Oreochromis niloticus: one gene and its partners. The protein of the gene in region 1 purifies or fractionates together with the protein of each later gene. This does not show direct contact. Links are inferred from orthologs where the notes say so. Each region holds a gene or a part of one and is shown in the gene's direction. Other genes may lie near its edges.

Region 1 (8,346 bases):
GATACTGCTTGGTCCAAATCCAGCTAACACTGAAACATGGTGAGTGGATACAGATCTCATTGTTATTGTCTTTAACATTGTTTAAAATAAGCGCCAGACTGTGAGGAGACACTCTGTTTCTGCTGTGTGATTAATGTGTTTACTGTAGATATCTGTATAACAGTCCATCAAAGTCTGCTCTTTTCAAACAACAGATAATGCACCAATGTACTCCATGTCAGTATGTTGGGAGATGTTTTTTTTTCTTTAAATAATCAATCGGACAATGCTCCCGTTGTCCTATTGATGAGATATTTGTCTACTCGACTTGAGAAGGAGGAGACGGTAAGGAAAGCCTTAACCTTAAAAAAAATATATTTTACTTGCGACTTTTTCCTCCGTGTTTACAATAAAACAGAACAATGACATTTAAAACACACACAATATTTAAGGAGAGGAAATGGGAGGGATGAAGAGGAGAGAGGTGAGAGAAAGGCAGCAAAAAACAGAGAAGAGACTTAGAAGAGCAGCCAACCGGGTTGGAAAGAGCAAAACAAAGGGAGTGCGGAGCAGACAGCAGAGAAACATGAGCAACAGGTGCAGGCTATGAAGAGGTCAGTGGTTATTCGTGTAATATTTGGCCCAATAAAGTTTCCGCTGGTCCAACAGTGATGTGCATTGGGCAACAGCAAGAAATGGCAAATTCTGCCTCATTGCCCACGAGTACATGAATCCTCTTAAAACAAAATAAATAATTAAATAAATGTATCCGAATGCCAGAGGTCCCTTCCATGAGATATACAAGAGCTAATCCACAACAAGGGTTAGACAGCAGCTGTCGAGAGGACCCTGAATCCGAGCAACATGATGTCACTGCGCTGCATCCCCCTTACAGTGTTTTTCACAGTTTCTTGGCAGTCATGTAAATAGCTCAACATAATCCTTCCCTCTGAGGGATTTCTGATCAAACAGGGCTCAGTGTACCCTCCTGTCATCACATAGACCCTATAGAATAATCCCTCATGTGATCCTGGGACTATGAGAGTGCAGGCAGTGGACCACACCCTCCCTAGGCTTACCCTGTGTGCTCCCAAAACTGGAGGCTCGAATAAATATTTCCATAACAAACTGACAGTGTTTGTAATCCTCACTAATGAAATGTGTGCCCCCCAGTACAAACCTTTCCTCTTGTGCAATGGATGCACCCCCCCCACCACCACCACCACACACACACACACACACGCACTTAGTGAGAGTGAGCTGATCGTTGGCTCATTACCACGTGTGACAGTAAAACCGATAACGAGTAAAGCCATACGGAAGAGCCAGGTGACGATCGTGTGTCATTACTATTGGATCTAATTAAGAGTGTCATCGTTAAACCCCCCACAGGCACCCAAGAAAGCAAAGAAGAGAGCGGAGGGAGCCAGCTCCAATGTGTTCTCCATGTTTGAACAGGCCCAGATCCAGGAGTTCAAAGAAGTCGGTACTCTGCCAAATGCTTTCTTTCACATTGAATTTGAGCGGTTTACTCACTGCGATGTCTGCTCGCTGTGTATACTCCTGCAGGCGTTCACTATCATGGACCAAAACAGAGATGGCTTCATTGACAAGAATGACCTGAGGGACACCTTTGCAGCTTTAGGTAAACTCACTGTGTGTCACGTTTCTGTTGTGATGGTTTCACATGATTACATTACACAAGTCCAGCAAAAAACAAACCTTAGGAATTCTCAGGTTCCAGCTTCTCACATGCACGAATTTCATTGTCTCAGCTAGTAGAACTCACCTTGAGTTCTGGGATGTATAATTACCATTTTTAAAATAATGTCTGAAGAAACAGATAACTGACAAACTGAGCTGTAGCAGTCATCAGATTAATCATTAGCGGACTTTTTTCCCCCAACCTAAGACTTATTAATATTATACATAAACAAGCAAACCTATTAAAAAGAATACAAAACAGACTAAACAAGAAAAGCACAGCAAACAAACATGATCCAATTTACATTAAAAGGATATTTTTATCTTTTTAAATAACACATGGTTCACAACAAACAGATACTGACTGACTCCTGGTCAGATCCAGATCTTCCACATATTTCAAAAAGAGTTTCAAAACCTTTCCCGGTGTTTTTATTTTAATACATATGTTTTCCTTCCTAGGGTTTACTGCCAACATATTTACTGCATACCCGGAAATATCTCCAACTGTTTCTACTAAATGTATTAAACCTGCAACTGAGTCATTTTGCAATAAACAACATTATGTCCTCTGGATATAATGATAGCTATTGCCTGAGCTAGTTATTCCGAACATTTGTGGTGTGATCTATTCCATTTTCCATTTCTACGCCAATACATTGATTAGATAGTCATTCAAAGAGTTTTATCAAAAGCCACACCTCATTTTTCTTTATTATTGTTCATTTAGTTTTTATTTTGTATAAGAAGAACCTTAACTTACTGCAACAAATCTGTTCTAGTCTTTATCGACCTGGGATTCAATTTTGTTTAATTTTTTTGGAAAATTTTGTGTATTATATTGAATACTGTCCATCAAGCTTGCTGACTTCATGTTCTACATTTGTTTAAATGTTCCAGCGGTTTTAGATTATATTTAAAGGACCAAGCGTAGAATGTGCCTTGAAAAAATCTCTATAGATTTCTTTTTTTTTAATACAAAGCTGGAAAACTGTTGTTATTCCAAATTTCCAGCAATTGCATCCTCTTCTAATTCCTTCTTTGGTCATTTTGGGCTGGATGGTATAGTCAACCCATCTAATAGTTCCATTGAGCTTTTGTGGATTTGTTTTAATCTCTTTATTGGACTATTTTCCATCAATAAAATATCAGTTTAAAAAATGAGCATTAATTGCAACCCCCGTTTCACCATATATTCCATGTTTTTCAGGCCGTTTAAATGTCAAACAAGAAGAGATTGATGACATGCTGAAGGAGGCACCAGGGCCCATTAATTTCACTGTCTTTCTCACCATGTTTGGAGAGAAACTAAAAGGTAAACGAGTTGCCGTTATATGACGTTGAAAAAAAGTGAAATTGTTTTTCTTCAATGCAGAACTGCCACTTTTCATCTATAGGTGCTGACCCAGAGGAGACTATCCTTAATGCTTTTAAAGTCTTTGACCCTGAGGGAAAAGGAACACTAAAGAAAGAGTTGTGAGTAATAGTCTGGTTCTTAAGCGACTCGTGATATTTGCATCTCGTTTGCTGATCATCACTGCTCGTCTTCACAGTGTGACAGAGATGCTGACGACCCAGGCTGACAGATTCTCTGCTGAAGAGGTTAGTGCTCCACCTCCGACGATGTAACAGATTGTGGAGCCTTGAGTTTTTATAAATGCAGATACGCTCTGTAACCATTCTTTTTACTTCGTACCCAAAGATGGAGCAGATGTTTCAGGCGTTCCCTCCAGATGTGGCAGGGAACCTGGACTACAAGAACCTCGTCTATGTCATCACACACGGTGAAGAGAAAGACCAGGAATAATCACGTCCTCCCTCACCGGGTCGTACTTGTGCTGAGATATGATCACATATGACAGCAAAAATGTAACTAACTTCAGCTTCAGTTTTTGAATGTGCACATGGATCAATGTGTTCATTATTCATTCATTCATGATTATAACATGTATATGTATGTATATTATTTGAATATAAATTAGTAATCTCTTCAAAGGTGAAATTAAAAGTGTATTTGACGTCAGATGTTTTTGACAAATCAATAAAGAAAGATTCAACCTCAGAGAGATGCATTGGAGAAGCTGAATCTCAGTGTATTTCATCTTCCATAAGTATTGATATTTAATTATCTGTATATAGTCATTTTATTTCAGTGCTCACAGTTGATCAGTAGAAGAACACTGGAACCCAGAAGCTCCAAGACCCATTTGTTCAATTTTGCCTTAAAGAGTACTTTAAGTGTATAAATATAAGGGAAAGGATTGCTAGGTAGACAGTGTGTCCTTTAAAAGGCTCTGTTTAAAGGTTTATTTTCCAAAGGGAGTAATTTCTACTCATTAAACAACAACTGCACCCAGGTTTTCACTAACCTCAGCTAATCTGAAAGATGCAGTGTCTATTTAGAGACTATACTTGTACTTTATCAATCACAGCTAAAACTTTTAAATAAATATATGTTAAAGTTAAACTCTAAACAGTCTGCATCCACTTTTCCATGGAAGAATAGGTGGCTACTCCACCATAGCTCACTTTCTGTTAATGGTGAAGCTAATCTGTAATTACACTTACTGTATACCCTTTATCTTTATTTTACATGTAAATCAATTTCTTGATTGTCTAGAAATTGGTGCGTCTCTAAGGTTTTTATTGGTTAACTGATTTTCAAATTGAAGCAAAAGTGTTCATCATACTGAATTCTTTCCTCTTCAGATAACACAGAACAGGAACCTGTAAAATTAATATCCGGTATGGTGAAAAAACCTAATTTCATTATACTTTGCTAGGAAAATGGAAAATAAGTGGAGCAATTTATTGAAACAAGATCAAGCATACATGGAAATAGACTATATAAGCCAAAAGTTTAGAAATTTCTAATGAACTTCAAAGTCAATATTTGATATGAATACTTTTATTCTTCACAACAGGCTGAACGTTTTTAGGGACGTTTTCTTGCCATTTCTTTAAGCAGTCTTCAGGAATAGTTCTGCAGGCTTTTTGAAGGACAATCAAAGCTCTTCTTTGGATGTTGGCTGCCTGTTATTCTGTTTTCTGTTGAGATGATCCCACACTGCTTCGATAATGTTGAGGACTTGGCTGGTGACTGAGGAGGCCAAACCATAGTGTGTGTTTTTCCATCCAGATATACTTTTAGGCAGTGTGTTTGGTATCACTGTCATGTTGTCCAAACGACATGACGTTCAGGTACTGTGTCAGGTGGCTATAACAAAGTGGCTCAACGTACAGTTTAAAATTGGTTCTGCGCTAAGTCGTGTGTTATGTGTAGAAACAACACTGATTCATTTCTTGAGTTAGGTCCCTTTTGTGGGTTAAGTAGCTTACAAAACACGCAAATAAAAAAAAATATCCCTCTGAAAATGGTCAGGTACAAGGACTGGACTGAAAATGAGTGAAAAATCAACAAATATCCAAAGAAAAAAATTTAAAGGACTTCATAAAGTCTTAAGCTGTCCCCATCCAGCACAGTAGGGGGCAGTAGTGTAGCAGCTACCAGCACAAGCCGCTGGCTTTAGCAGTACAAGGTGCGGCAAAGGAAAAACAGAAACGGGACACCGTCGCTAGCAACCGCTTGTGTTGGTTGACGCTTATTTTTTTATAGTCCCCGTCCCTTTTTTTAACAAAACGAAACAATTGATGTTGGCATTTTTAAAATCGCGATCTTTAAGTAGCGTATTAGCCTGTCAAAAGTGTCGGCGAGCGGCTAAACAGTATCAGGGTCACGGCAACATCTTTTACCCTCAGCCGGAAAATAGACGAAGCTAACATTAGCAAGCTAATGCTAGGATAGCTAGCGGGCTAGCTTTCACAAGTGTGTCAACGCGAAGACCTAGATCTACTGGAGCGATTTTTTCGTAACACCAACGCTTGCAATGGCTGATGTTGACAAGCTCAACATAGATAGTATCATCCAGCGGCTTTTAGAAGGTAAGTAAATACTAAAATTTCCACGAAACACTTGTTTTATTATTTAAATGTTATGGTAAATGCTAATAGTAGATAGCTAGCTTTAGCTGGTGTTCATCTTGTGGCAATAATTAGTAACAATAATCAGAAATATTTGCAAGATAACTTATTATTTTAATTAATGTTGGCTACCAGGTTTATATAATGCGTCTCTTGAGTCAGAATATTGGTGTGTCTGAAGGGTGTGAAACGACATGTCACGTACACTGTGTTCTCATACACAAACACCGCGAATTCCGTCACGGCATATGGCTTCTACACTCACCGTTTGTCCCACTTGGCGTCCGGGCAGAGATACCGTGCCCGGGTTAGCTGGAATAGTGTTTAGGTGTTATTCTTACTGACTTTTATTGATTTTTGTCTTCTTGTTCCAGTCAGAGGAGCAAAACCTGGCAAGAATGTTCAGCTGCAGGAGAACGAGATTCGTGGATTATGCCTCAAGTCCAGGGAGATCTTCCTCAGTCAACCCATTCTCCTGGAGCTGGAGGCCCCCCTCAAGATTTGTGGTAAGAAAAGCTGTGCACTTACTTACCAGAAAAGATTGACTCAGCAATTGGCTGATAGTATGTACTGACGTATGATAAGTGGTTTATGACTCAAAAGAGCAATGTGTATAATTCAGCTTGGTATCTTTGCCTTGCAGGTGACATCCATGGGCAATACTATGACCTGCTGAGGCTGTTTGAGTATGGGGGCTTCCCTCCTGAGAGCAACTACCTGTTTCTGGGGGACTACGTGGACAGGGGGAAGCAGTCACTGGAGACCATCTGTCTTCTACTGGCCTACAAAATCAAATACCCAGAAAACTTCTTCCTGCTGAGGGGAAACCATGAGTGTGCTTCAATCAACAGAATATATGGTTTTTATGATGAGTGTGAGTATTGTTGAATGACTAGAAATGTCCAGCCTGGGGTCTCTTGTGTCCATTAAGGGTACCTGTCAGATTCTCTGTTGCGTTTTCTTTTGCCGGCTAAACTGTTTGAAGGAGGTTGTTGGTATGAGATAATGGGAAAAAATTAAATATAATTTCTTGTCTTACTGTGTTAGGTAAAAGAAGGTACAACATCAAACTCTGGAAGACCTTCACAGATTGTTTTAACTGCCTCCCGATTGCCGCCATTGTTGATGAGAAGATCTTTTGCTGCCATGGCGGTGGGTTATAATGCGCAGAATGAATGTTTTGGCACAAAACTCTACTATCTACTCTACAGTCTTTTGGTTGTATGCATGATGTCAGAAGTTGTGTACATTTGATATCAGCGTTTCTTATTTGTCCTTGAGAAACGCTGTCTTTGCAATTTGTTACCTGACATGAAGCTCACCCAGTTCCAATCGGTGCTGACCTCAGTATCAGTGTGTTTATTTGTACTTTTACTTTACTGTTCCATTTAGGACTGTCCCCTGACCTTCAGTCCATGGAGCAGATCAGACGCATCATGCGTCCCACTGACGTGCCTGACCAGGGCCTGCTGTGTGATTTACTCTGGTCTGATCCAGACAAGGATGTGTTGGGCTGGGGGGAGAACGACAGAGGTGTGTCATTTACCTTTGGCTCAGAGGTGGTAGCCAAGTTCCTGCACAAGCATGACCTGGACCTGATCTGTCGTGCCCATCAGGTACTCACCTCCGTCATCACAAACAGAAACGTCACTGTGGGAGGTGGGAGGTGGCCGTGTACTGGCCAGAGGCAAGAAACACTTGGTACAGGGAGATAATATACTAGCACACATGGTGCGTGTTGTGGACAGTGGGTTTTGACCTTTTTGGCTTGCGTTTGCATCAAAGTAAAATTATTTGTGTATTTCCAGAGGTTGTTACAAGTTCAACTAAAGCTTTACTTTAAAAAAATATCTAGAGACTTAAAGAATATGGAGAGAAATTGATGTTAGAATAGTCACGAATTACTTTAATGCTGCCATTTAATGCCAGTGCAAAGATAAGAGAGCTCAGCTTTCAGTGCAGTCTTGTGTAATTTTGTGGGAAAGACATTTGTCAGAATAGACAGTAGCTTGTAGTAGTAGAATAGAGTGTAGCTAATTAATGTAAATATAGAGTATGGTCAGTAAGTGGTTTCTTCTGACGGTAACAGAAAAGTCAGAAATAATGCACTATTATATTTATTAATCAGTAACACCAACGACTGTTAAGTCCACAGAAGACGCCTAATAAGGAAAAACACTGTTGAGGCATGTCAAGTCTGCAATTAAGACAAGTGATTGTGAACGTAAATACACAAGTTTTACTTGAAACTCCTGACCAGAGGCCAGGTTAGACTTTAATAGTGACCAGTAAACCTGGGCCACTAGTGTGCTAGATGATGTAGCTGCTGATAGAAGTATCAAGATGAATTGTGAAGTGTATAGTGTCTAATCAGATTTGTCTGTGTGCTGCAAAACTGATAGGCTGGTGTTTCCGCGGTACATAGTGCAGCTCTCTGCGCTTTGTCATGAGCCTCTCCTACCAGACAAGCGCAGACAGATGCAGCACACCCTTCATTTGCTCCACAAACATAAAATTGAATCAGTCTGCTCCGTTAGCCTTTGGCCAAAAGCTGTTATCAACATTCAGTATAAGCTACTCATCGACTGATTGCATTGTTATCTACCACAAGTGAGCAGCCTACCTTGTCAAGAGAGGAACGGCAAGCTCAGAATAAAGTAGTTACTGTTGGTAACTCCGGTT
Region 2 (8,122 bases), on another chromosome or scaffold:
CAGAATGCCATGCTAAACCCTTCAGTCTGCCATTCCAGTACAATCCAAAGAACAGAGGATACGTCAATGAGGTGAGGGAAGCGTGCCGCCTGCTCCGTACAACTGGAGCCAAGTGGATCGGTGAGAGAAAGACCGCCATGCAAAACGGTGACGAGGTCCCCAAAGACATCCTGACACAAATCATCAAAACTGCAAGCCAAGGTTGTAGTTCCTAAATTTCACATTTGGTTAGATAAGAGCAATATTTTAGTCTCTTTGTGATGAGACAAAGTAAATAAAACAAAAATGTTAAATATCAATGTATATGTCCATTCTCTTCTCATTTCAGAGGAAAACATGACTGAAGAAGATGAAGAATTCATGCTGGACAATTTTGTGACATTCTTCATTGCAGGTGAGTCTCTGTTGTTTCAGCTTCGATGTGTGAAATGCAGCTGGAAGCTTCTTTGTAGCGTGAGACCAAGCTCACTGTGCTGAAGAGTCCGTTTGATTTTCAGTTTTACACAATATGGTCACTGGTGTCTGTGTGAATTTGTATCCTGCTGCTGTGTGCTGCAGTTTAATGTTAATGGTAGAGCATACTGATATATGCTTATCCAGAGAGGCTGCATAATATCTCCACACACACTGTGTCACACAACTCTAGTTCCTGTGTCACTGACTGTTTGTCTCAAATGTAAAAAAAAATACATTTTTATTACTCTTTTCAAACTTTGTTTGTGACCAGGACGATAACATTTGTAAATGAATAAAATAGCAACAAAGTAAAAGAAACATATGATCTATTTTTGTTACATAATGATGTTATTGATTTTAACTTAACTGGGCTTTTTAAGACTCAAAGACTTGTGATGTAGAAATTAGGAATACAACCTCTTGAGTGAGAGTTGCATGGCTGTTTCCTTTTGAAGTAATATTCTGATGCATTATTGACAAACTGGTAACATTTTAGGCCAAGAAACAACAGCCAATCAACTGGCTTTTTGCATCATGGCGCTTGGAAGACATCCTGAAATACTGGAGAAGTAAGAAGTCAAACAGAACATTTTCTATATTTTTGCATGAATATAACCTGAAACATCATCTGATTGAACCTACAAGGTCCTACAAGTAAAGAGGACTTAAACAAAAGTCTGTGAGATCTTCAGAAATCTTCTTGCCGTGACACAGTTGTTGTACAGTCAGCCTGATCCCAGTTCTTACAATCAGTGTGTCCCTCAGATCTGATTGTCAACCCGTTGTGTGAAAGTAACTTCTTCTAATTTGATCCATCCAAATATCAAACATCATGTTTCTAAATTGTATTTTTATTTCTTAGAGCAAAGAAAGAGGTCGATGACGTCATTGGGATGAAACGTGACATAAGCTATGATGACTTAGGAGAGCTGGTCTACCTGTCACAGGTACACGTGGTACACTTATTTGTTTATTTATTTATTTTAATAACTCACCCAAAGTGTGCACCGCTCATTGTAATCTTCCTTCAGGTGCTAAAAGAGACTCTGAGAATTTACCCCCCAGCTCCGGGCACGTCTCGTGATGTTGCTGAAGACATGGTGATTGATGGTATCCACATACCCGGGGGATTTAGTGTTATTGTGAGCCATTTTCTTTTTAATATGTTTGTAGCTCTAAATGATAACTACATACTGAAGACAACAAATATATGAAGCAAGATATATGGAGTTATGTAGCAAAGAAAATAAAAAAAACTCTAAATATGTTTTATAGATTCCTGAAAGTAGCCACCCTTAACTTTGTTGACAGCGCTGTAAACTCTTGGCCTTCTCTCAGTGAGCTTCATGATGTAGTCAGCTGAAGTGGTTTTCACTTCACAGGTGTGCCTTGTCAGGGTTCATTTGTGGGATTTCTTGCCGCCTTAATAGAGTTGGGATAATCAGTTGTGTTGTGCAGAAGTCAGGTCGGAACACAGCTGACAGCCCTATGCTGATTGGTTCTCGCCGTAATGTGAATTCTAAGTAAAGAAAAAATGACAGTCCTTCATTATTTTAAGAACTGAAGGTCAGTCTGGAAAATTGCTAAAACTTTGTGACTACACTTGTGGACACATTCAAAGATCAGCAAGTGCTACAACAAGACTGACTCACATGAGGACCGCACCAGGAAAGGAAGACCAAGGGTCGCCTCTGCTGCTGAGGATAAACTCATCCGAGTCACTAGCCTCAGAATCAGCACGTTAACAGCACCTCAGATTAGAGCCATACAGAGTTCCAGTAGCAGACACATCTCTACATCAACTGTTCAGAGGAGACTGTGTGAATCAGGCCTTTATGGTCAAATAGCTGCTAAGAAACCACGACTAAGGAAAAGCAACAAGCATAAGATTTGTTTGGACCACGAAACAGAAGTTATGGACATTAGACCAGTGGAAATCTGTGCTTTGGTCTGATCAGTCCAAATTTGAGATCTTTGGTTCCACCTGCTGTGTCTTTGTGTGACGCAGAAAATGCAACTGGATGGTCTCTACATGCGTGCTTCCCACCATGAAGCATGGAGGAGGTGTGATGGTGTGGGAGGCTTTGCAGGTGACATTGTTGGGGATTTATTCTAAATTGAAGGCACACTGAACCAGCATGGCTACCACAGCATCCTGCAGTGACATGCCATCCCATCCAGTTTGTGTTCAGTTGGACCATCATTTATTTTTCAACAGGAAAATGACCCCAAACACACCTCCAGGCTATTTAAGGACTATTTGACCAAGAAGGAGAGTGATGGAGTGCTGCACCAGATGTCACCTGACCAATCGAGATGGTTTGGGATGAGATGGACTGCAGAGTGAAGGCAAGAGGGTCAACAAGTGCTCAGCATCTCTGGGAACTCCTTCAAGACTGTTGGAAAAACATTTCAGGCGATGACCTCATGAAGCTCATCGAGAGAATGCCAGGAGTGCAGAGGGTGGCTATTTGGAAGAATCTAAAATATAAAACATGTTTTGAGTTATTTCACTTTTTTTTTTTTGTTTACTACATAATGCCATATGTGTTGATTCACAGTTTTGATGTGTTCAGTGAGAATCTACAATGTAAATAGTCATGAAAAAAAAGAAAAAACATAATAAAGAAAATAAGAAGTGTCCAAACCTTTAACTGGTAGTATACATATAAACAAAATTGTCACAAAGTTGTCAGAAAAACATAACATATGAGGTCTTATTTAAGCAAGTACAAATACATTTATGATTAAAATGTGAAATTAACTATTTTCATATTCAGTTCAGCTCCTATGTGAGCGGGAGACTGGAGAGATTCTTCAAGGATCCACTGAGATTTGATCCCGACAGATTTCACCCAGATGCTCCCAAGTAAGGAACACACTGTTTCACCATGCTGACTTTATTACGTTTCAGCTTTGCACACACTTTATTATCTCAGACTAAATGAGTGAAATGGATCACAGTAACTGAGGCGGTCTCTTATCTGTTCAACTAGGCCTTATTACTGCTACTACCCCTTTGCCCTCGGTCCTCGCTCGTGTCTGGGACAGAACTTTGCTCAGGTGAGGATGACAGTATAAGTCAACATGAAGACCCGCTCACCTATAAACACACTGACTCATCTCTGTGGGTTCTTTTGCTTTTTTAAAGATGGAGGCTAAAGTGGTGATGGCCAAACTGCTCCAGAGGTTTGACTTCACTCTTGTCCCGGGACAGACCTTTGACATCCTGGATGCTGGCACGCTCAGACCAAAGAGTGGAGTGTTGTGCACTTTGAATCACAGGGATTACAAAAATAAATGATCTTAAAGTACTTTACATAAAAAGAAATCATAGTGGTCTATAGGGTAAAACTGTGTTGATCTTTACTCCTGCCTAAAAGCTGTGATTAAAAAAATAAATTGTTATAATAAAAACAGTATCAGATATGAATTACATGGTAAAGCCATATGAAATGATGGTGATAATTATTTTTCACAATATAGAGCATATTGGAAATTTTTTGAGGCGGACAGCTAGGTTTAATACCATTTGCACTTGTTTGCTTAATCTTGCACAGACTCATATAACGGTGTGTCGTGACTTTTTTTTTCATAACCACAGACCCCTTTGTGCCTACAACACTAATATGTAAGTGCTAAATATTAACGTTTTATGTAATTGGAAATCATTTGGAAACAATTGTTTTATATTTTTGTGCTATGCAGTGATTGTGTACCCGATTTGCCGTGTTAATGCATTTACGGACAGTGTCCACATGGGGGCGCTGAGATCTTGCAGAGACTTCTGGCTTTTAAAAAGCTGTTTAAATTCAATGTTCAGAAAAAGAACTCTCTCAGAAGTTGTCTCTCGTTTAAACACAGATGGTAATATTTTTTTAATACTTAATTAAATACGCATGTAGCTAAAACCTACTGTCATTTTATAGGTTGAAATATTTTTGTTTTTTAACTAAATAAATATTTTGGGGGCTTATTTCAATAAAACAGCCCAACTTTTCAATGCTCAAGTATTGTCAAAGAAATCACGGCCATTAAAAGTACACAATACATCTGTGCTTCATTTAATAATAAAGAATAAAAGTCATGAGGCGTAGTCTGATTTTTCTTCTCCTTCTTTAATGAATCCAGTGTGTTTTTACGACGAGCATATCCTCCTGTACCTTTAAGAAGGCCGAGCCTGAGCCCTGTGAGGCTGCACCGCACTTTTTCATCTACCTGCTGCCTACTTCTCTCGCACGTCTTGATTGGTCGTCTCGAGCTGAATCGTCTTGAATGATTTCAAACCCGAGTGTTTGGACAAGAGGGAGGAGAAGGAGAGAGGCGGGGGTCCACTGATAATTCCGAGCCTGCTGGCTGCCTGGCTGGGTGGAAAGGACTGAGTCGTCCACTATCGCGCCGCCTCACTGAAGACGCTTTTATCCGAGGAGACGGTGAAACACGTCCAAGAGGGCTTTTCTTATAGGTTGCCCGTTTTACTCGAACATTCGCTGTTTTGCGCGAAATTAGGTTGAATTCATCTAAACATAAAGGAAGAAGCAGTCTGGTGGATTTCACGTTTTACATCATGTGAATGTTGTGATGTCCAGCAGAGACTGTGCACACTGTTACGGGTCGCTGTGTTTTTGCCGACAGGACTCGGTGATCGGAAATCCCTGATAATCGATTTTATATCGCTTGTTTGTTTCTGACCGACTGTGACCACCAACTGTTGTTCCTGTGAGTATTTTTTATTTATTTCTTACCAGATCAGTGGTGGCATTTCTTTAAAAGCTGTGGTTGTGGAAGCATCACAATCATATTTGTGTTGTTTGTTTTTTCAGTTTTATTATCGGCCTGTTGAAGATCAGGGCATTATCGATACTTTTCAGATTTTTTCCCCCCTTTTTGGACAATGTATTCGTGTTTTAACACGATTCCACAATTGAGGTTAGGTTAGTGAGTTTCTGAGAGTTAATTTTAAGCAGCTGCATAAACGAACTGAGACTCGTAGCCGCGACAGTCATGGCTAAAAATCCGTCCGAGGGGCCGAAGGATGACCTGAGCCAGCTGACGGACGATGAGCTGCTGCGGTGCAGCAAAGAGGAGCTGGTTAGGAAATTAAGGAGGGTTGACGGTGAGAAAATGAACTTGATGATCGAGCATGGCAACATGATGAAGGACATTAACCGGCGGCTGCAGGTGCACCTTCATGAAATCCGGAACCTAAAGGAGATCAACCAGAAGCTCCAGGATGACAACCACGAGCTCCGGGAGCTCTGTTGCTTCCTGGACGACGACCGACAGAAGGGCAAGAAGCTGTCCCGGGAGTGGCAGCGTTTCGGCCGCTACACAGCCAGCGCCATGTGGAAGGAGGTGGGCACCTACATGATGAAGCTCAAGGAGCTGGAGGCCAACCAGGAGACTGTGCTGAGGGAGAACTCTGAACTGAAGGAGATCATCCTCATGCTGGATGAAGAGAGGAATGGGGCAGGGTCCCGGAGCTCCATAGATAGTCAGTCCAGCTTGACCAACCTGAACGGGGGCACCAGCACGGTCAGGGATGTTGGAGATGGGAGTAGCACGTCCAGCACAGGAAGTGCCGGTAGCCCCGATCACCACAATCACAACCACATGCACAAGCCCTCGGAGAACGGTAAGATGGGGCCCACGATGAGAAGATCCATGGATGACCTGTCAGCGCCACATCATCACAGAAGCATCCCCAATGGACTCAATGGTGAGTACATGCACTTGTAAACACACCTGGTTGCCTTAGTCATCATGCATGGCCCACATCATGGGGTTTCTGTAGGGAAGTAAAGCAGGTCGTCGACTAATCGGAATCTAAAAGTTCCTAAATAAATACTTTGGTCCCATTCTTTCTTTAAACAATGGGGAATTGGCCCTTACACCTGTATTCCTGGGCTCTGCTGCTAATAGAGGCACACTGTGTAGTTACTGCGTGTATGTGCTTGCTGTGGCCGCATATGCTGATCAGAACTGTTGGGATGGATTAACACCCATGGGGTCTTGGCTTAACCTCACTGTAAAGTCTTGATTGGGGTGATTATGAAACACACAGCATCTCTTAAGTGGCCTTTTCAGCCCCCACGCCAACCTGTCATTTATGTCTGCACTGATTTAGGTCACTGCACTTGTGCTTCTCAGTGAAGGAGACTTATCTTAATAGCTTTTAAAAGGGGATCAAGCAGATTGATTTTTTTCTCCTTGGGGTCGTTCACTGATTATCTTTGTTGTCTCTGGCTGTGGAAGAGCACTCATATCTGCTTAGGGCCCCCGTTTGAAATGCATGGCTTGGAACCAGAAGTCAATGTCCCTGTTTTTTAAGACCTAAATACATGACTGAAAGCTGCAAGTGGGGATGAAAAAGCCATGATGGAACAGGAGGACACTAAGCCTCGTTTAGGAAGCACACGGGCTCATAACCCACTGTGATCTGTTTTGCGAGAGGAATAAAGTCTGTTTCACGTGTGTGTGTGTGTGTGTGTGTGTGTGTTTGTGGGGGGGGTTGGACTTTATTTTACCCTGATTTACAAGGACAGGGCAACTGCAGCACAATTTAGGCTCAAAGCAAGCAGCTTCAAATCAGATCACACCAGTCACATGTTATCCATTGGACATTCCTGGAATTGTGCACTGAGAAAACTGTGAAGGTAACATAATATAAAAGACTGGTTGCATGCACGAGGGAGCCCTTAATCCGTAAATACACACGCACGTATACTCGCACAACACGCAACATTTTGGTCTCTGCTCGGCTGTTATTATGTAACATCCACATTGTGTCTGCGGCAGCCTAGCGCCTCTCTCAGCCTTTATGTGCGAGTGTGTGTGTGACATTGTGCGCCCCTGAGTCTCAGGCTCTGTGTGTTCATCACTGACAATGATGTACACATTTCTAACAATACGCTGGCATGGGAAAGGGCCGCCTCATTTGAGAGGTTTATTATCTCATTGTTAAAACCTATGCATTTGTAATGAGACTGACGCTGCGTAGTCCCAAACAACCCCGAGAATCGCAAATTATCCTTGTGCTGTAAACAGCGCGAGTCTGGTAAGTAACAGAACAGCTATTGACATTTCCTAAGATGTCAGGAAAAAGCAAGGCTACTCTCATAGGAAGCTGTTATTTACACATGTTAGATTGCTTTACCCAGAAGCATGCCGGTCAAGCAGGTGTTTCATCGCTTCCACCCCGAATAAATAATTCTTAAAACCTTGCTCGAATAGCTGCCTGGCTACCTGTTACATGCCAGAGCGAGGCTGAGGGGAGGGTGAGTAGAACGGGCTTCTTCACCGGCACAGATTTACTCAATTGGCTGGTTGAAATCTGAGTGGAGTGGCCATCTTTGCGAGGTCAGATCTGGACGTGGTGTGAGGTCTGCAGAGTGGCTTTTTATTTAATGCTGTCCAAATGCCAGTGGCTCCCCTGGGCATTTAGCAGACAAGCTCGAGGATTGCTGCACAAGTGCTAAATGAACAGCATCTGTCAGCTTGCCAGACACACACACACACACACACACACACAGAGAAAACCAAAAGGGTTTTTTTGTGTGTCTAAAACTAACAACTTTCTTTTTGAGCTAAGTTGCCTTAAACTTTTTAATGTCAACTATTAAATTTGTTTTTCCATCTTGGCTGTTGCACATCGTAAAGATTTCCA
Region 3 (7,767 bases), on another chromosome or scaffold:
CCTAGATTTTAGTAGGTGTACTGTACACATAAATCAAGAAGCTAATCTGCTATAATCTACTTGGCTGGTACCTAAGCCTATTTACTTGCAGCTGATATGTGAAGTCAAAAAGATTTGGATTGCTGAAGTGAACTGAGCAGATCTGCTGTAATTTGCAGAGAGAGAGATACAATTACATTGCAATCTGCAGCACATTCACCGGCAATGGCTCACATCTGTATCGTGTTTGTGAATTTACCCTCTCATAATCATATTAAGCTGCAGGAGAAGGCTGTGCTGTAAATCCTTTTTAGTAAAACACTTCTATATTGCGATTTTTATAGAAATTGAATGCAAGTATTTCTGTTCTCTGATGTGAAGCTGGCCTGGATATGAAGTCTAAAGATAGTACTATATTAGCTTTTGACTTTACATTGTGAGCCCTTCCTGTTTCCTTTCACTGATGCCCGTTTCCTTTTGTGCCAACTGACACTTCCTCTTCATAATGTCTCATGGCAGCACAGCCAACATTTTTCCTAACAGATGTCCTGTTCCCAGAGACAATATGTCATTTCATACAGTGAACTAGTAATGCACAACTGCTGACCACTGCATTGCAAAAGTCCAGCTCCTGGCACCTGTACACGATACAGCACTGGTGAAGACACCTCTGGAAACAGGTCATTGTGAAAGTCGGACATTTTACAGCCCAGAAGCCAATCAAATGCCAGCTTTTGAGGGTATTTACTGTTAAAGACCTTATGTTGTTTATGCACATAAGCAATCTGTACATTAACCTGACTATGACTAGAGCAATGTTAGAATAAACGTGTTCACAGTGACCGTGTTAAGGTACTGATGCTTAGCAGATTCTATTTCCAGATAACATTTGCAAACTGGAAGATAACCTGATCCCAGTTGATTGCAGGTTTCTACAAGTGCTAGAGGAGAATTCAGGATCGCGTATGATAAAACAATGTTTACAAAATTTGAATCCTGAGATTTCCCAGTTGTCAAGTGAAAAGCCTGAGCTGCTGGTGGCGATAGATAAAAAGACTCATGGTCACCAAAGTTAGCGTCTACCTATCCATCCATTTAACAGCATGGTCTTCCTTTATGAGCTCTCCAGTATAGCTTTGGTCTTCTCTTCAGTCCTCTCCTCGCTGAAAAACCCCCAAAGAGATAACTCGGGAAACATCCACATTCCCACCATTCCCACTGGCTTCAGCTTCAACCCTGTTGACCCACGTGTACATTCACGCCTGTTAGCGTCAACAAACATGATCAACTGATTTGCAATGCCAAATACTACGGGTGAGAAATTTGATCTTGCAGAGCTCTGTTACCATTGAGATCTCATATGTTATTAGAGTTGCTTGCCTTTTTTGCTTCGAGGATCACCTTTCACCTTTCATGTACATGGCTTCAGTGTGTGCAGTAGATCACAAAGCTCATTTGTATAATGGGCTTAACTACAGCTTTTTTTCTCCCTTTGATATTAGGCCAAAGCTGTAAAAGCAACAAGGAAAAGGAATACACTGCAGACGGTAGCGGCTCCTGTGATGCCTTGTTATCACATTTTCCCTTGAGGTTCACATGTTGCCCTCTTATTTCCAAGCAGCCAGTCTTCCTTGTGTGATAACCTCTGTTTTAGGACATGACAGAATTGTTGGGACAGATAAGCAGCACTTCGGTCCCTCGTGACGTCTCTTTTTGCCCTCTTCTTGCCACGCCGTCATCACACCCAGTCTTTTGTCTTAACAGAGAAACACCCGGTGGAATACAAAACAATTATATAAAAAAAGTCTTCTTCCTCAGCGGGGCAGTGTCTGCATCGCTGGCCGGTATCCAGTCCGTAGAATGGTTGACATTAGGAGAGAGGAGCAGAGAGCCACTGATCCTGGACCAAAAGAGGGAGGGAGTGACTCAGAGGAGAGAGGATGAGTCAGGCGTCATGTGCTGAACTGGCACTTGACGCTCTCAGTGTCCTGAATGGCTTCTGTTCCCATAATAACATGCACTATTATGGTCAGATTGAGCCTACCTTTTGTCAGTCAGTCAGGCTTGAGCTAAGCTGGCGTTGGCTTAATTACATGAGCTGGTATGCATTTATGGAAATGCTTGTATGCACTGCCTTACTTCTAATACTACTCATTATCTTTAAACGGGCTCAGATGATCAAACCGGTTCAGTAGCATCACTTTTATGTTGGGCTGTTGATTTCCCAGATTGGAGATTAAAGTCTTTTATTATGGTCAGCTGCAGAGCAGCTTCTCTGCAGCTGTGGTCTCGGTCGTCTTGTGCCAAAAAAAGTTGAACCGACGCATTCTGTAAGGTCTGTTTCTGATCTGCTGATGCAGATTCTCATTATGTCTGGAAGTAAGAGGTTTACAGTAACGGGGGATGGATAACACCTCAAATTTCAAAAGAAAAGGTTTTTCTGGAGGGTTTACTTGAATAACACATTGTAACGAGCAAAAGTATGAGACAGAAATGTAGCAAGATAAATGGCGTCTGAGGTTCACAGCGATGATGGATGTTCTCCTGTGTGGTCTGTCAGCTTCTTTTAGTTCCATAATAGGGAAAAAAAGAAAAAAAGTTGCATGTCATTTTTCTTCTGCTTTATTATCAGGGACAGTGCACTTACTTTCAATGAGTCAGTCCAAACTTCACTGCTTTTCTTTTGCCGGCCGACCCTGACTCACATCTCCTTGTCTCTGCCTCACTCTCGCATTGAACCCGGCTCCCACTGTGATGAAATGTTCTTTGCTTACAACATAAAAAGCAGTCCAAAAAATACAGAAGTGTCTTTTTTTTCTTGCATTAAGACACTTCTGAGTCGGGTGCGACTGCGATACCAAAATATTTTTTGTAATTTTACAAGCTCGTATTCTTCAAATTACTCAGACAAGCATGGCACTCATAGAGAAGGCCTGGGGCAACAAAGGATGAAACAATGCCGCTTCATTGTATTTATTTAATTGGAGAAGGAGAAAGTGACTCTGCACATGGCAAAAGAAGAAAATCAGAGTCATCCTTCCGTTTCCTTTTATCCATCATTCATTCATACTCACTCTCCTCCAGCCCTGGAAAGTCCTTGGCCTCAGTGCCCAGGACCTGGGCAGTAAGAAGGAGGAAACAATGTCTGGAATGTGATGAGAAAAAAAAAAAGAAAGACAAAACTTAGTCATTCCCACATGTCAACCTCTGGCTCATTTCCTCCTCCTCCTTTCCCCAAGTATGTTGCCTTCAGGTTCTCCTCCTATTCCCAAGTTCTCTGATAGAATATGTGATCTGTACCATTAAACCAAGGTTGCGGCCACCCAGGATATTATTTATGTGTTATGTTAATTTACCATTTTTCCTCCAAGGTGAAACCGAAGCCACAAATGTTACCCCCTGTCAGTATTGCCTTTCTGTTAGGCACAAACCAAAACCCTTAATCTGTAATCTATCACACCAAAGTTTGATACTCTAACCTAAACACACACACACTTGGTTGCCAAGTGTACAAACTGTTAGAAAAAAATGACACATTTGTCCTTACATGTGTTTTCATATCTGTTGAGTTTTTAACACTCAGTTGGCTGTGGGGGCCTGAAGGCAGCAGGAGGAGGGGATTTCTTTTTTTCCATTGGTCACCATCCCTTAAGAGAAGAATGACGTCAACGAAAGACTCAATAACTGCACTCAACGCGTTTCAATAACTATTACACACAAACAGACACATGCACACACATATACATACACACGCACGCACTCAGGGGCCTTTGAATCCATCTGTTTGCCTCCTCCTTTTAAACTGTCCTTCCAAGACAGATGAGGTTTTGAATAATTAGTTTTTGATTATGAAGTATTGGAAATGAATTTGTGCTTTGAAGTGTAACGTCATCATTTACCGTCACCGATAATGACCGTGTTTGCCATTAACAGAAAGGACATGGCGCTGTACAAATGTCACAACAGCAGGACTACAAATAATAGATGAGAATAGACTCGCAGAGTGCATCGGTGTTTTTTTTTATCGCTTTACTGAAAATAACTCTTTCAGTTCATTTATAGTGAAGTCGCTCAGTATTCAGATAAGCTTTATTTTAAATGCACGCACTCGATATAGAAATGGTAAAAGTGAAGTCAGATTTCCTGAAGACTACATATGTGTATTTCGGTTAAGCTAAACACAAACCGCAAGGGCAAATGAAAGCTTTACACAATCGCTAACACACTACCCTGTGTGCATCTGTACTACCTTGTCACAGCGCACGGATCTGTTTATCTCTTAAGGCCACTTTTCCCACTTCGGCGCCTCTCTTGAAAACTGCGCGTTCACGCGCTTCTCTGGCCAGCCCAGTATCGCGGGCGCTCGCTCCCGCGCCAGGCTGGTGGAAAAAACTGCAGCGGCTGTTGCTGGAGCCACGCAGAGAGGAGCGGTGTGGGAGAAATCACGGGCACTGGCAAGAGTTGAGCGGCACACACTCACACAGTCGCACAACACAGGCAGATTTTGTCGTTATTCCTGCCGAGGGCGACGCTGTCAGAAGCGGGGTTCATGGCTGCCAAGAAGTGATAGTATCGACGAGGAGCTCTTCGCCGTTCAAAAAGGTATGGAAAAGTTAGCTCTGGGTTCATTTTTTCGCCCCCCTTCGCAAAATTGAAAGTGTCTCAGCCACAAGTCTCGCCAGTTTCTTGCGGCTGCCCAAGTTCCAGGTTGTCAGCGAGGGTATGGCGTGTCTTTGAGGAGGAAAAAATCCCCCCAAAACTAGCGGTTCTGTCTTGTAATGTCAGATTTGTGCAGGATAGAGATGTGAGGAGAAGCCAGTGGAGAAGTTTGCTAGCCGTGCTCGGCTTCAGCGAACTGAGAGCTAATCAGTGACTGCGTGCTGACTTTGTAACATAGCTGCTGCTGCTGCTGTCATAAGTTGAGTGAGTGAAGGCTGAAGTGGAGGGCTACAGATCAGTTTGTTTAAGAACAAACGCACAAACAAAAAGATGCCACTCGTGTGTGGTTTAGCGTACACCTGGTGTGGAATTGAGCCCGTCCCAAAAGCACAGCTTGCCCGTGTTTACAAAACGGGATAGGCAGAGCTCAACTTTAAACTGCTGACCAAACAGGGGTCCAGGGACCACCACGGGTCTTTTAGTGGGGAGTGGGAGATGGGATCGTGTGTGTGTGTGCGTGTGTGCGTGTGCAGGCGTGAGAAAGAGAGAGAAGTCACCACCCTGAATGGGGATAACAAACACAGTGGAAAGAGGATGTTTCGCTATTCTCAGCACTGTTACTTTCCTCCCTGCCGAACACTCGTGGGTTTATGTGCAGATTATATGCAACAAAACTAAAAAGAAAAATCAACTTTCTGCATGTTGATTGCATGCATGTAGTGCTCCTATAGATTGTACTGTTTTAATGCATAAACTGCATGTATTTAAAGATCACCTCCTGGTTGCTTGGAGTGAGTGGGTTGCTAGAGTCCTCCTTGCCATACCGATAAACAGGTGTCGGTTCACCAGTTTGTGTGTCATTCTTCCCACTCAAAGATTCAACTGATTGTTAACACTGGGTTTCATGATCACATGATCATCTTACCAAAAAAACAAACAAAACAAAACCCAAAAGAAAGAAAAGAGAACCTGATCCTGCTGTATCCCACTCAACTAGCCATTTAAATCAAACCCCACAGTGGGACCTGTGTTGCATAAAATAGATGCTGTTGTCCTGCATTTCACTGGGACTGATTTTTATATGCATCTGTTTGTTGTGTCACCTTGTTTTTTTCTGTTTTGTTTTTTTAATATGGCCTAATCACAAGGCTGAAATTATAATCTACAGCTTTAAATATAATACAGAATTCACCACTACTGTTGTGAAAACCCTCCTTAAATTGCTACCTAAAAACTGAGATCGAGAACCCTTTTTTTTAAAAGTGATACTTTTGCCTTCCATCTGTCGAGCCAGGTGTGTTATCTGTAGAGTCAACTGTCTGTCCCGCTGTTTTTGAAGATCGTCATGGATTTAGAGGAGGAAAAACAAGAATTGCCAGATTTCTTAAAATACCCTTTACTTTAGTGGAATTAAGTATTAAGTGGTCTGGTGTTTTTTTTTTTTTGTTTTGTTTTTTGTTTTATCACCGATTGTAAAAGTAAAACATTCTTCTGTTTCAGTGTCACGAGTCACTGCCAGCAAAAGTTGACAGAAGCGGACGCTGAGCTCTTGATAAACGACCTCTGCTTTGTGCGTTCATGTGGGATTGAGGTTGTCGGTCCTTGTTTTTACTTGCTCCTTTCTTTTGTTTTGATTACAGTGTCAACAAAGGTGGGCATCTGGGATTGTTACCTCACCCGGTGGAGGCAGACGAGAGGGAGGCCAAGTTGCCGATCTCAGATTTCCCTTCTGATAAGTGCCCTGTGGATGCTTATCCCCCCTCCTGAAGTGTGCGAACACAAAAATTGTTGGATTGTTTGCAGTATCTCAGAGTTGCGAACATACCTGACATTCTTTGTGGTGAGCAACAAGAAGACAGTGTTTTCTCTGGTTGACAGAGCTGCATGAGATTTTGTGATTCGCTGTTTGACTGATGGAGGTGCAGTCTGGCAGTAGGGCTACAGTATATGCTGAGGTGATTGGAGCAAGATATAATAGCATTTTCGTTTTTTTTGCCTTTGACCTTTCTGTTTGCCCATCACAGATTGTCAGGTGTAGTGCTGATCTATGTTACCAAACTGGAAATGATATAAATGGGATCTAAATGACCTTTTACGTTACACTGGGCTCCTTTTTGTAAATGCCTTGGATGATGCGTTGGCTCGGAGACATGTCTCAGAATCTTTTTGTGTTGTGAACTGGAATGAAAGTTGTCTTTGTTTGTTGGTTAGTTCAGTGACCTGGAGTTTTACCTGAACTGGGCGTCGTTCCTATTTGTTTGTCAAATACTGTTTTTTTTTTTCTTTGTTTTTTTAAGTGGATCCTGGTACAGTTTTTTTTCTCAATAAATAAATCACAGCCTGTGGATTTGCAAAAAAAAAAAAGTTGTAGTATGAAAACTTAACAGTGCAAACTTTAGTCAGGTGTAACCAAGAATATGACTCAGAATGGCTGAAGAATCTTCATCAGTAGATTATGTGTTGCATTATTGTTCATTTCACGGGGTCAGTAATATTATCCCTCTAGATAGGAAGTTTACAGTGTTGTCTTTTAAATGTTTTATGAAGTTGAAAACATACAAACATGATTTCGCTCTCCATAAATTGCTGTAGTTTGAGCTAATGAGCTTTGTGTTTAAACATCGTTACTCTGGTACAGAGCAGCGTGACAGTGCTGAACACATTAAAGTAAAATATGTTATGGATTAATCTGAGTCTCATGATGAGGTCGGTATATTGATGAAGCTTTATTGATGTCAGTGCCATTATCCGCTCTGCCTGGTGCCTAATGTTGGATGTTATTCGAAAAAGTCAGTTTATTGCACATTACTTGTTACTTACACAGGTGCTACATTACTCTGGTGTTACGTAGCACGTCCTGAGATACACTGCTGCATAATTGCAATTTTACCTATACCTTAATGAGGTCTTTCATATTTAAGTGAAAACATAAAGTCGAACAGCAAATCAACATGGGAGTGCCCATGTTGTGTCCATTTGGAGCATAGGAGTTTAGGATTGGAATTTTTGGAACTGAGTTAGCTGCGTGCACAAAATTTAGATGTCTGACTTAGCAGTAAGAAAATAACTTGCTCGCAGTCCCACAGCTTTCTTATTCTTCCTGCTGATCGCTCATTTCTTCTTGCCTCT

Evidence for each region. Proteins that work in one complex are often made in the same cells at the same time.
Region 2: the proteins of serine/threonine-protein phosphatase PP1-gamma catalytic subunit (region 1) and ccdc85cb purify together in Homo sapiens (affinity purification with mass spectrometry; 5 studies listed by BioGRID and IntAct, counting the BioPlex papers as one, with this or other methods). This does not show direct contact. The link is inferred for Oreochromis niloticus from reciprocal best matches to the Homo sapiens genes PPP1CC and CCDC85C.
Region 3: the proteins of serine/threonine-protein phosphatase PP1-gamma catalytic subunit (region 1) and peak1 purify together in Homo sapiens (affinity purification with mass spectrometry; 6 studies listed by BioGRID and IntAct, counting the BioPlex papers as one, with this or other methods). This does not show direct contact. The link is inferred for Oreochromis niloticus from reciprocal best matches to the Homo sapiens genes PPP1CC and PEAK1.

What each region holds. Positions count from the first base shown.
Region 1 is NC_031977.2:6,410,448-6,418,793, forward strand, and holds the start of serine/threonine-protein phosphatase PP1-gamma catalytic subunit, read left to right. Parts: upstream 1-5,198; 5' UTR 5,199-5,570; coding exon 5,571-5,625; intron 5,626-6,038; coding exon 6,039-6,170; intron 6,171-6,307; coding exon 6,308-6,538; intron 6,539-6,711; coding exon 6,712-6,816; intron 6,817-7,056; coding exon 7,057-7,280; intron 7,281-8,346. Other genes in the region: myl2b (myosin, light chain 2b, regulatory, cardiac, slow), read left to right, coding at 37-39, 1,372-1,461, 1,549-1,624, 2,894-2,998, 3,081-3,159, 3,237-3,285, 3,386-3,490. UniProt on the Homo sapiens protein: Protein phosphatase that associates with over 200 regulatory proteins to form highly specific holoenzymes which dephosphorylate hundreds of biological targets.
Region 2 is NC_031980.2:2,937,742-2,945,863, forward strand, and holds the start of ccdc85cb (coiled-coil domain-containing protein 85C-B), read left to right. Parts: upstream 1-4,730; 5' UTR 4,731-5,460; coding exon 5,461-6,175; intron 6,176-8,122. Other genes in the region: cholesterol 24-hydroxylase, read left to right, coding at 39-201, 329-394, 953-1,025, 1,319-1,403, 1,488-1,598, 3,237-3,325, 3,453-3,519, 3,608-3,760. UniProt on the Homo sapiens protein: May play a role in cell-cell adhesion and epithelium development through its interaction with proteins of the beta-catenin family. May play an important role in cortical development, especially in the maintenance of radial glia.
Region 3 is NC_031972.2:45,118,672-45,126,438, forward strand, and holds the start of peak1 (inactive tyrosine-protein kinase PEAK1), read left to right. Parts: upstream 1-4,375; 5' UTR 4,376-4,581; intron 4,582-6,278; 5' UTR 6,279-6,478; exon of another isoform or gene 6,479-6,593; intron 6,594-7,767. UniProt on the Homo sapiens protein: Probable catalytically inactive kinase. Scaffolding protein that regulates the cytoskeleton to control cell spreading and migration by modulating focal adhesion dynamics. Acts as a scaffold for mediating EGFR signaling.